Saccharomyces cerevisiae S288C: one gene and its partners. The protein of the gene in region 3 purifies or fractionates together with the protein of the main gene of each other region. This does not show direct contact. Each region holds a gene or a part of one and is shown on either strand. Other genes may lie near its edges.

Region 1 (2,582 bases), on a different chromosome or scaffold from region 3:
CTTCAGTTGGGAAATCAAATGATCTTGTTTTTCTATAACGGAACTAGAATTTTCTTCCAATTCTAAGGAATCTAGTAGATGAGACTGCTCATTTAGTTTGGACGCTATTATTTTTTCTAATTTTTGCGATTTCTCGAATTTCAATCTAATGGAATTTATAAATTGATCATATTCTTTGTGCAAATTTTCTATGACAATCTCTAATTGAGTGTCTAAGGTTTTCTCAAAACGAGACTCGACGGCTGAAATTGGTAAGGAAGTACTGTTTGCCATTACATTTTCTGTATCAATGTGGTTGTTACTGTCATGAATTTCGTCATTCTGGTATCCACCATCAGTATTCTCCTCTTTACTTGATGGTGAGTCCCTACTTTCTAACTGTGATCCTGCTGGTGAGGACTGGGCCAGTGAAAGAAATTCTTCCTTATCCTGCTTTGATTCCGCTCGACTTTTGGAATGCAAAAAGTCCTGCAAGAATTGGATGATGAACTTGGACAAAGTATCCATTTTTTCAAGAACATAATCCGAGCTCAGCTCTAAAGTTTCCTCCAGGGTCTCCCTCTCTTCTTTATCAAGAAGATGGGCATTTTCATCTTGCTCATTAAAATGCGTCAATATAAAGGACAATAGGTGATTGATCGTATTCACGATACTTTCCGAATTTTCTAAATTCTCTTGAACGAATTGTAGCGTATCTTGGTACTCGACTTCCTTCGCCTTTAAATCCTGTTTCAATTTGTTTATTTCAAGATTTAGACCCTCGATAATCGAATTTCTAAAATCAGTGTCATTGCCCAGCGATGGTGCATTGCCGTCTTTATTAGGGATTCTGCGAATGTATTCATAGAGTACTTGAATCTTGATTTTGGCATTAGTCAACTCCTTCTCCAAATTTTTGACTTTGTTGGAATCGTTCATCAGAGCAGGCTTGATGGGATCGTTATGAGATGACCTCGTGGTCATGGAGTCCCTGAGTGATGGTATGGACATCCCAGAATCCATCGAGTTTGTGAACTCGCTGTCGTCATCATCACCAGTGTTGTCATTATTGCGAAGATGCCTGCCACTAGGAATCCATCGACGTACCATGGCTATAACTTTCCTTATGTTGTTTGCTTAGTTTTTTGATATTAGTGTTGCTTATGTGAAATTTCGCGATTTCAATTAAAATAATAAATACATATATAAAGAATATACACAGAGGGAAGCAAAAGTAAACTAAAAGTGATACTTACACGAGCTTTTTTGGTTCCAAACTGTTCATGATGATGCCGGACCCTTCCCAGTTGACTTCTTAGTGGTCAATTGTAGGCCATGCCATCTGGAAATATCGTCCCTCAAAATTCTGTTCACCAGCTGGTGCTGCTTGATGAGACTCAGTCCGTTGAACTTCTTGCTTGTTATGTTGATAGCAAACATGGATCCGCAGCCACCGGAAACGTCTTGCACTTTACACACTTCAGGTTCCAGTTCCTGTTGTAGTTTATCGGTGATCATCTTCTCCTCCGGAGTCATTGCCATCTGCGTTGAGTACCAAAGCTTTGAGCCCGTCAGAATCCTTGGCCACCGGACATGCTTCACAGATATAGAACGTAGCATGGTCTGTGGGAGCTTCATTTCTATGTTTTACCTTCTCTTTTCGCTTTTATGGTTCTCAGTGACCAAATAAAGAAACTTATATATGTTCCGGAATGACGAATCAAAAAGAGAATAGCATCGTTAGCAGCAAACGAAAGTGGAAAGAGAATAATGTTCAAGAGAGCAATGAGCACAGATGGTCCCGTGGCACGTACCATCCTGAAGAGACTGGAATGCGGCTTTCCAGATTACAAGAACTTTGCGTTTGGCCTCTACAACGATTCTCACAAGCATAAGGGCCATGCTGGTGTACAGGGAAATGTCTCTGCTGAGACACATTTCCGGATTGAGATGGTCAGTAAAAAGTTCGAAGGCCTGAAACTTCCACAACGCCATCGTATGGTTTATTCCCTCTTGCAAGACGAGATGGCTCAGGCGAACGGTATCCATGCTTTACAATTGTCACTAAAGACCCCACAGGAGTATGAATCCAAAGCGAAATAGAATGCATAAGCATAAGTGTACACGTTGAGTTTATTGTTTTATTTCCCCTACATATATATACATATATATGAAATTACTTTACGTACGTATAAGCTTTGTTCAGTCATCATGAACCAGTGTCTTTTCGTACTGTTCTAAGGACATTAGACCCTCGACCTGTTCCACATTAACGCCCTCACCAAGCTTCATTTTGACTAGCCAGCCGTCACCCATAGGATCTTCGTTCACCACACCTGGATTTTCCTCAAGATTAGTGTTAATTTCCTCTACGGTACCATCGGCAGGCTGGTAGATCTCGGAGGCTGACTTGACGGACTCAATGGACCCTAGCGACTCACCTTGGGCAATCTCAGTGCCCACTTCTGGCAACTCAACATAGGTAGCGTCCCCTAAGGCATCAGTGGCGTATTTTGTAATTCCGACAAAGGCAGTCTTGTCCTGATGCACAGCTATCCACTCATGTTGGGAAGTGTACCTCACGGCTTGAGGTCCTTGGGATG
Region 2 (2,615 bases), on a different chromosome or scaffold from region 3:
TCGATAATCGAATTTCTAAAATCAGTGTCATTGCCCAGCGATGGTGCATTGCCGTCTTTATTAGGGATTCTGCGAATGTATTCATAGAGTACTTGAATCTTGATTTTGGCATTAGTCAACTCCTTCTCCAAATTTTTGACTTTGTTGGAATCGTTCATCAGAGCAGGCTTGATGGGATCGTTATGAGATGACCTCGTGGTCATGGAGTCCCTGAGTGATGGTATGGACATCCCAGAATCCATCGAGTTTGTGAACTCGCTGTCGTCATCATCACCAGTGTTGTCATTATTGCGAAGATGCCTGCCACTAGGAATCCATCGACGTACCATGGCTATAACTTTCCTTATGTTGTTTGCTTAGTTTTTTGATATTAGTGTTGCTTATGTGAAATTTCGCGATTTCAATTAAAATAATAAATACATATATAAAGAATATACACAGAGGGAAGCAAAAGTAAACTAAAAGTGATACTTACACGAGCTTTTTTGGTTCCAAACTGTTCATGATGATGCCGGACCCTTCCCAGTTGACTTCTTAGTGGTCAATTGTAGGCCATGCCATCTGGAAATATCGTCCCTCAAAATTCTGTTCACCAGCTGGTGCTGCTTGATGAGACTCAGTCCGTTGAACTTCTTGCTTGTTATGTTGATAGCAAACATGGATCCGCAGCCACCGGAAACGTCTTGCACTTTACACACTTCAGGTTCCAGTTCCTGTTGTAGTTTATCGGTGATCATCTTCTCCTCCGGAGTCATTGCCATCTGCGTTGAGTACCAAAGCTTTGAGCCCGTCAGAATCCTTGGCCACCGGACATGCTTCACAGATATAGAACGTAGCATGGTCTGTGGGAGCTTCATTTCTATGTTTTACCTTCTCTTTTCGCTTTTATGGTTCTCAGTGACCAAATAAAGAAACTTATATATGTTCCGGAATGACGAATCAAAAAGAGAATAGCATCGTTAGCAGCAAACGAAAGTGGAAAGAGAATAATGTTCAAGAGAGCAATGAGCACAGATGGTCCCGTGGCACGTACCATCCTGAAGAGACTGGAATGCGGCTTTCCAGATTACAAGAACTTTGCGTTTGGCCTCTACAACGATTCTCACAAGCATAAGGGCCATGCTGGTGTACAGGGAAATGTCTCTGCTGAGACACATTTCCGGATTGAGATGGTCAGTAAAAAGTTCGAAGGCCTGAAACTTCCACAACGCCATCGTATGGTTTATTCCCTCTTGCAAGACGAGATGGCTCAGGCGAACGGTATCCATGCTTTACAATTGTCACTAAAGACCCCACAGGAGTATGAATCCAAAGCGAAATAGAATGCATAAGCATAAGTGTACACGTTGAGTTTATTGTTTTATTTCCCCTACATATATATACATATATATGAAATTACTTTACGTACGTATAAGCTTTGTTCAGTCATCATGAACCAGTGTCTTTTCGTACTGTTCTAAGGACATTAGACCCTCGACCTGTTCCACATTAACGCCCTCACCAAGCTTCATTTTGACTAGCCAGCCGTCACCCATAGGATCTTCGTTCACCACACCTGGATTTTCCTCAAGATTAGTGTTAATTTCCTCTACGGTACCATCGGCAGGCTGGTAGATCTCGGAGGCTGACTTGACGGACTCAATGGACCCTAGCGACTCACCTTGGGCAATCTCAGTGCCCACTTCTGGCAACTCAACATAGGTAGCGTCCCCTAAGGCATCAGTGGCGTATTTTGTAATTCCGACAAAGGCAGTCTTGTCCTGATGCACAGCTATCCACTCATGTTGGGAAGTGTACCTCACGGCTTGAGGTCCTTGGGATGAGTACAAAAATGGTAGTTTATTCTTGTTTAGGGCATTGCCGGAGCTGTTTCTCAAAAACAATTTGCTCACAGTGGGCATGCGGGTGGTCCATAGTCTAGTAGTGCGTAACATTGTCGATGTGGTATGCTTCATGTGGAGATTCCCTTTCCCATTAGATACTTGTTTGTTGGTCTGTATATATAGAAGAAAGAGTTAGCGAAAGTGACTCCGCCGCTGAATGACTCCTTACGGAAGTGTCAAAATTGCGAGGTCCCTATAGCACAGAATGATAGATAAAACATTGATTTGCAAGTTGAAGGAAGACCCTACACATGCGTATATATGATGTATGTAATGGTTGTGATCATTTTAGCCTGTCAAGCAGTGAATCGCACTGCTTGTGTAAGCCTTCATCTTCTTGCTTTAGCTGATGCAGCAGGTCGCGAACAGTGTCCTGCACTGGGGGTCTAAACATAATGAGAAACTTTAGCGTTTGGAAACCAAGGGAACTTCTTGCCGGATCCAGGCAGATAGGCTTCAGTGCCTCAAGATGATCGCTTTGAAGACTGGGCAGTTCGCTCATAAGTCTGATGAAGAATCGTCTGTGTTTGTTTTCAAGGAATGGACCCAGAGACTCGAGAACTCTTAAGGACCATTTTTTGTAGTTAGAGGGATCTTGATGCAGCGAGGTTTGGAAGAACCATTCTTCATTGAGCCATTCAATGATCAGACTGACACGTTGCTCGAAATCCTGGATGAAGAAGCCAAGCAGTTCTTCACGAATCAGGTCACTGGCCTCTTGTGCTTCGATTC
Region 3 (3,215 bases):
GTATCTTTTCAACTAGATCCACAATCCTATTCTCAACCTTGTCAATGGTTTCTCCGAGTTTTAATAATTTTTCAGCTAGCATCTGAATATCATCAGTCTCAGAAAGTTTTTCCTCTTCTGCCTTTAAACCATTTAGTATGGTTTTAAACCTATTTAAGTTTCTTTGATATTGTTTCACCTGTTCATCTTTAATAGAAACTTTTCTTAATGATGATGGCGTCTGTCTGACAGTATCATTTGTTTTGACTTTCGATTGAATCCGCGCAGAAATGTTGTCGTCAATAACATTTCTTGTTTCATCCCTCACTGGGGTCGCCATGTTGATAATTAGAGGTAAAAAATTAGTATTAATGAAGAAGTGAGTACTGATCTTCTTATACTAAATAAGAGAGGTATATAAAACACACGCCGATTGGTCATATTAATCATGACCAATATAATAGTGGTTCCGGTAGTTACTATACATTGATGTGACGACTCATATTCCTCATATATGTACCTACCATATCATGTTCAACTAATAGGTCTTTAACACAGCTTCAGTATTGTCTGAGCTTCTCGTTTAACATTCCTTCTGCAATAGGCGCAATCACACTTAAACGTATACGAGTTGTACATTAATATACGATGTAAGCATTAGATTGTTACCATAGCAACTCATGTCACTATTAATTACTCTCGTTCCAACAATCAAAGAATATTAAATGAACTTCAAATATTAAGTAATTCTCCTTGTTCTGCTTCTACGGCTCTAATCCATATTAGCATACCCGATTAATATAATTGCCTGCGATCGAATACCCAATGTACTGGATTTTGTTGGAACAAGTGATTTATCACAGTTCACACTGTCGTGAAGTAATTTGACGGTATATATCATATATAAACAATATTCAATGGTGAAATCAGCAGTTTGCGTTGAATTAAGAACATATACTACTTGAACATAAACTGGGGTTCATGTAAATGGAAAATATGAGCCATCGCATTGAGCATATGGCAGTCATAAGCAGTTTTGATTCTGCTTAAGATTCAATTAAAAGTAATTGAAAGAGTAAAATGTTTTATAGTTCAGTTAGTAACTTCGAGCAAGCTAGTGCTTGCCATTTAGGCCATTGAATAATTCAGTACGAGTATATGCTTATTATTATGGATAATTGATGCACTAGAACACAAGGAGAACGAGTATTTTAACAAATTGAGCTATTACAAAAGGAATACTTAGATACGGCATTATCTGACTTAAGGCTTCTTCATTAGTGATTGATTAAAAGAAAAAATAGAATGCAAAAGCTAAAGGAATTAAGCGAAACTAGGTTCCAGTAACACTTAATTTAGTAGCCTTATCAATATTAAGAAAGGATGGTAACCTCTAATATATCACTGCCATGTAATGAACTTCTATATTTTAGGGATTTAGGAGGGTTCTGATCTGAATCACTTATGTGTTTTATATTTTCTACATACAGCGCGACTGCTGTTTTCTATCCATAATTATTTTAAGCATGCGCTATCGTTTCTACCTAATGACAAATTGTGGTAACAGCCAGATTTATCTCAATATACATTAGTAGTCAATATCTCAAACGACATCGAATGCCGCACATAGCCATTTATTATAACAGATGAGAACCACATCACTTTTTATTACAAGGTGTCCATTATGACGACTGTAGAAGTATGCAAATCATAAGTTAGCCCAAAGAAGACATTTAGATTTTCTTACGACAATACTAATTAAGGTACCACGAACAAAGAGAGAACAGTAGGTATGTTGTATTGCTACGCCAACTTTTCTTGTGATCAAAAAGTTCAATGCATTCATTCTTCTTTATAATATAGTACAAACTGTTAATTTACTACATACGGAATCATGAGATTCTAAATTTAGTATACAGAGCTTAATTTATTCAATAAAGCATAACTAGTGCCGTAAAGAGTCTAAACCGGTATTTGGCACTGATCTGAGCTTATTGGAAAAACGTTACCCGACCAAAATAAATCACTTCTAGGAAGTAAAGGTATAAAGTATTGATGACAAATGCGTTCTAGTCCCAAAGGGACAAGAAGTTGTATTACTCTTTTCACATATATCAAGGCCACAAAGGTATCTGTTTACTTTTTGACTTTAGCAAAAATTTGAGGAAATCAGACAATGTTTCTCCCAAAATTCAATCCCATAAGGTCATTTTCCCCCATCCTCCGGGCTAAGACTCTTCTTCGTTACCAAAATCGGATGTATTTGAGCACAGAGATAAGAAAAGCTATTGAAGATGCCATCGAATCGGCTCCAGTGGTTCTTTTCATGAAAGGTACTCCTGAATTTCCCAAGTGTGGATTTTCAAGAGCAACCATTGGATTATTAGGAAATCAAGGCGTTGACCCGGCCAAATTTGCGGCTTATAATGTTTTAGAAGACCCAGAGCTACGTGAAGGTATCAAAGAGTTTTCAGAATGGCCAACTATTCCACAGTTATATGTAAACAAAGAATTCATTGGTGGATGTGATGTTATTACAAGTATGGCACGCTCTGGTGAATTGGCCGATTTGCTAGAAGAGGCACAGGCATTGGTACCTGAAGAAGAAGAAGAAACCAAAGATCGTTGATTTTGTTACCACTGGAAGCAAAATAGGAACTGGTGGCCGAACACTTTAATACTCGTGTGCATAATAGGCCTTTACGATCCATATTTATATATGCATGTACATTTGCTATTTTTTTAAAGATTTGTAATGTATTCTCATGCCTTTAGACTTGTAAATAACAGATTCTCTACTTACAAACCCCTCTCTTTGCTTTGCCAAATGAATTGACGTTATAAAACAAAGAAGTGAGAATTATGAATATATTTAATATTCCCCGCATAGACTTGAATCAAAAAACGTTAGTTTTAGAATGACAGAAGCCATATCTTCGTTCTGATTCAACGTGCGAAAGACGCGACAGACATTTGTTGGGGTTGTCTTTGTTACTCTCTTGATTTTCGATAGATTCCGTACTGTTACCAGTTTGCTTTTCCCCCATTTTTTTTAACGTAAAAGGATTGGAAGATAATAGGCGAGCTCAATTTTATTGCCCTGCGAAGCTTTCAAATATGTTAGTCAAAGGATCAAACTTCCTTTTGAAGGTGATAGGGATATAATGAACACACAATTGTGCCTTTAAGCCATTACTCACGAGTGGGATAGAAATGAAATTCTTTTCTTTTAAATG

The links.
Region 1: the proteins of GRX5 (region 3) and BOL1 purify together in Saccharomyces cerevisiae (affinity purification with mass spectrometry; 2 studies listed by BioGRID). This does not show direct contact.
Region 2: the proteins of GRX5 (region 3) and BOL3 purify together in Saccharomyces cerevisiae (affinity purification with mass spectrometry; 2 studies listed by BioGRID). This does not show direct contact.

What each region holds. Positions count from the first base shown.
Region 1 is NC_001133.9:55,769-58,350, forward strand, and holds BOL1 (Bol1p), read left to right. Parts: upstream 1-1,749; coding exon 1,750-2,082; downstream 2,083-2,582. Other genes in the region: gamma-tubulin complex subunit SPC72, read right to left, coding at 1-1,089; BOL3 (Bol3p), read right to left, coding at 1,261-1,617; GCV3 (glycine decarboxylase subunit H), read right to left, coding at 2,182-2,582.
Region 2 is NC_001133.9:56,529-59,143, forward strand, and holds BOL3 (Bol3p), read right to left. Parts: upstream 858-2,615; coding exon 501-857; downstream 1-500. Other genes in the region: gamma-tubulin complex subunit SPC72, read right to left, coding at 1-329; BOL1 (Bol1p), read left to right, coding at 990-1,322; GCV3 (glycine decarboxylase subunit H), read right to left, coding at 1,422-1,934; RNA-processing protein PTA1, read right to left, coding at 2,167-2,615. UniProt on the Saccharomyces cerevisiae protein: Acts as a mitochondrial iron-sulfur (Fe-S) cluster assembly factor that facilitates [4Fe-4S] cluster insertion into a subset of mitochondrial proteins such as lipoyl synthase (LS) and succinate dehydrogenase (SDH).
Region 3 is NC_001148.4:442,424-445,638, forward strand, and holds GRX5 (monothiol glutaredoxin GRX5), read left to right. Parts: upstream 1-2,155; coding exon 2,156-2,608; downstream 2,609-3,215. UniProt on the Saccharomyces cerevisiae protein: Monothiol glutaredoxin involved in mitochondrial iron-sulfur (Fe/S) cluster transfer. Receives 2Fe/2S clusters from scaffold protein ISU1 and mediates their transfer to apoproteins, to the 4Fe/FS cluster biosynthesis machinery, or export from mitochondrion.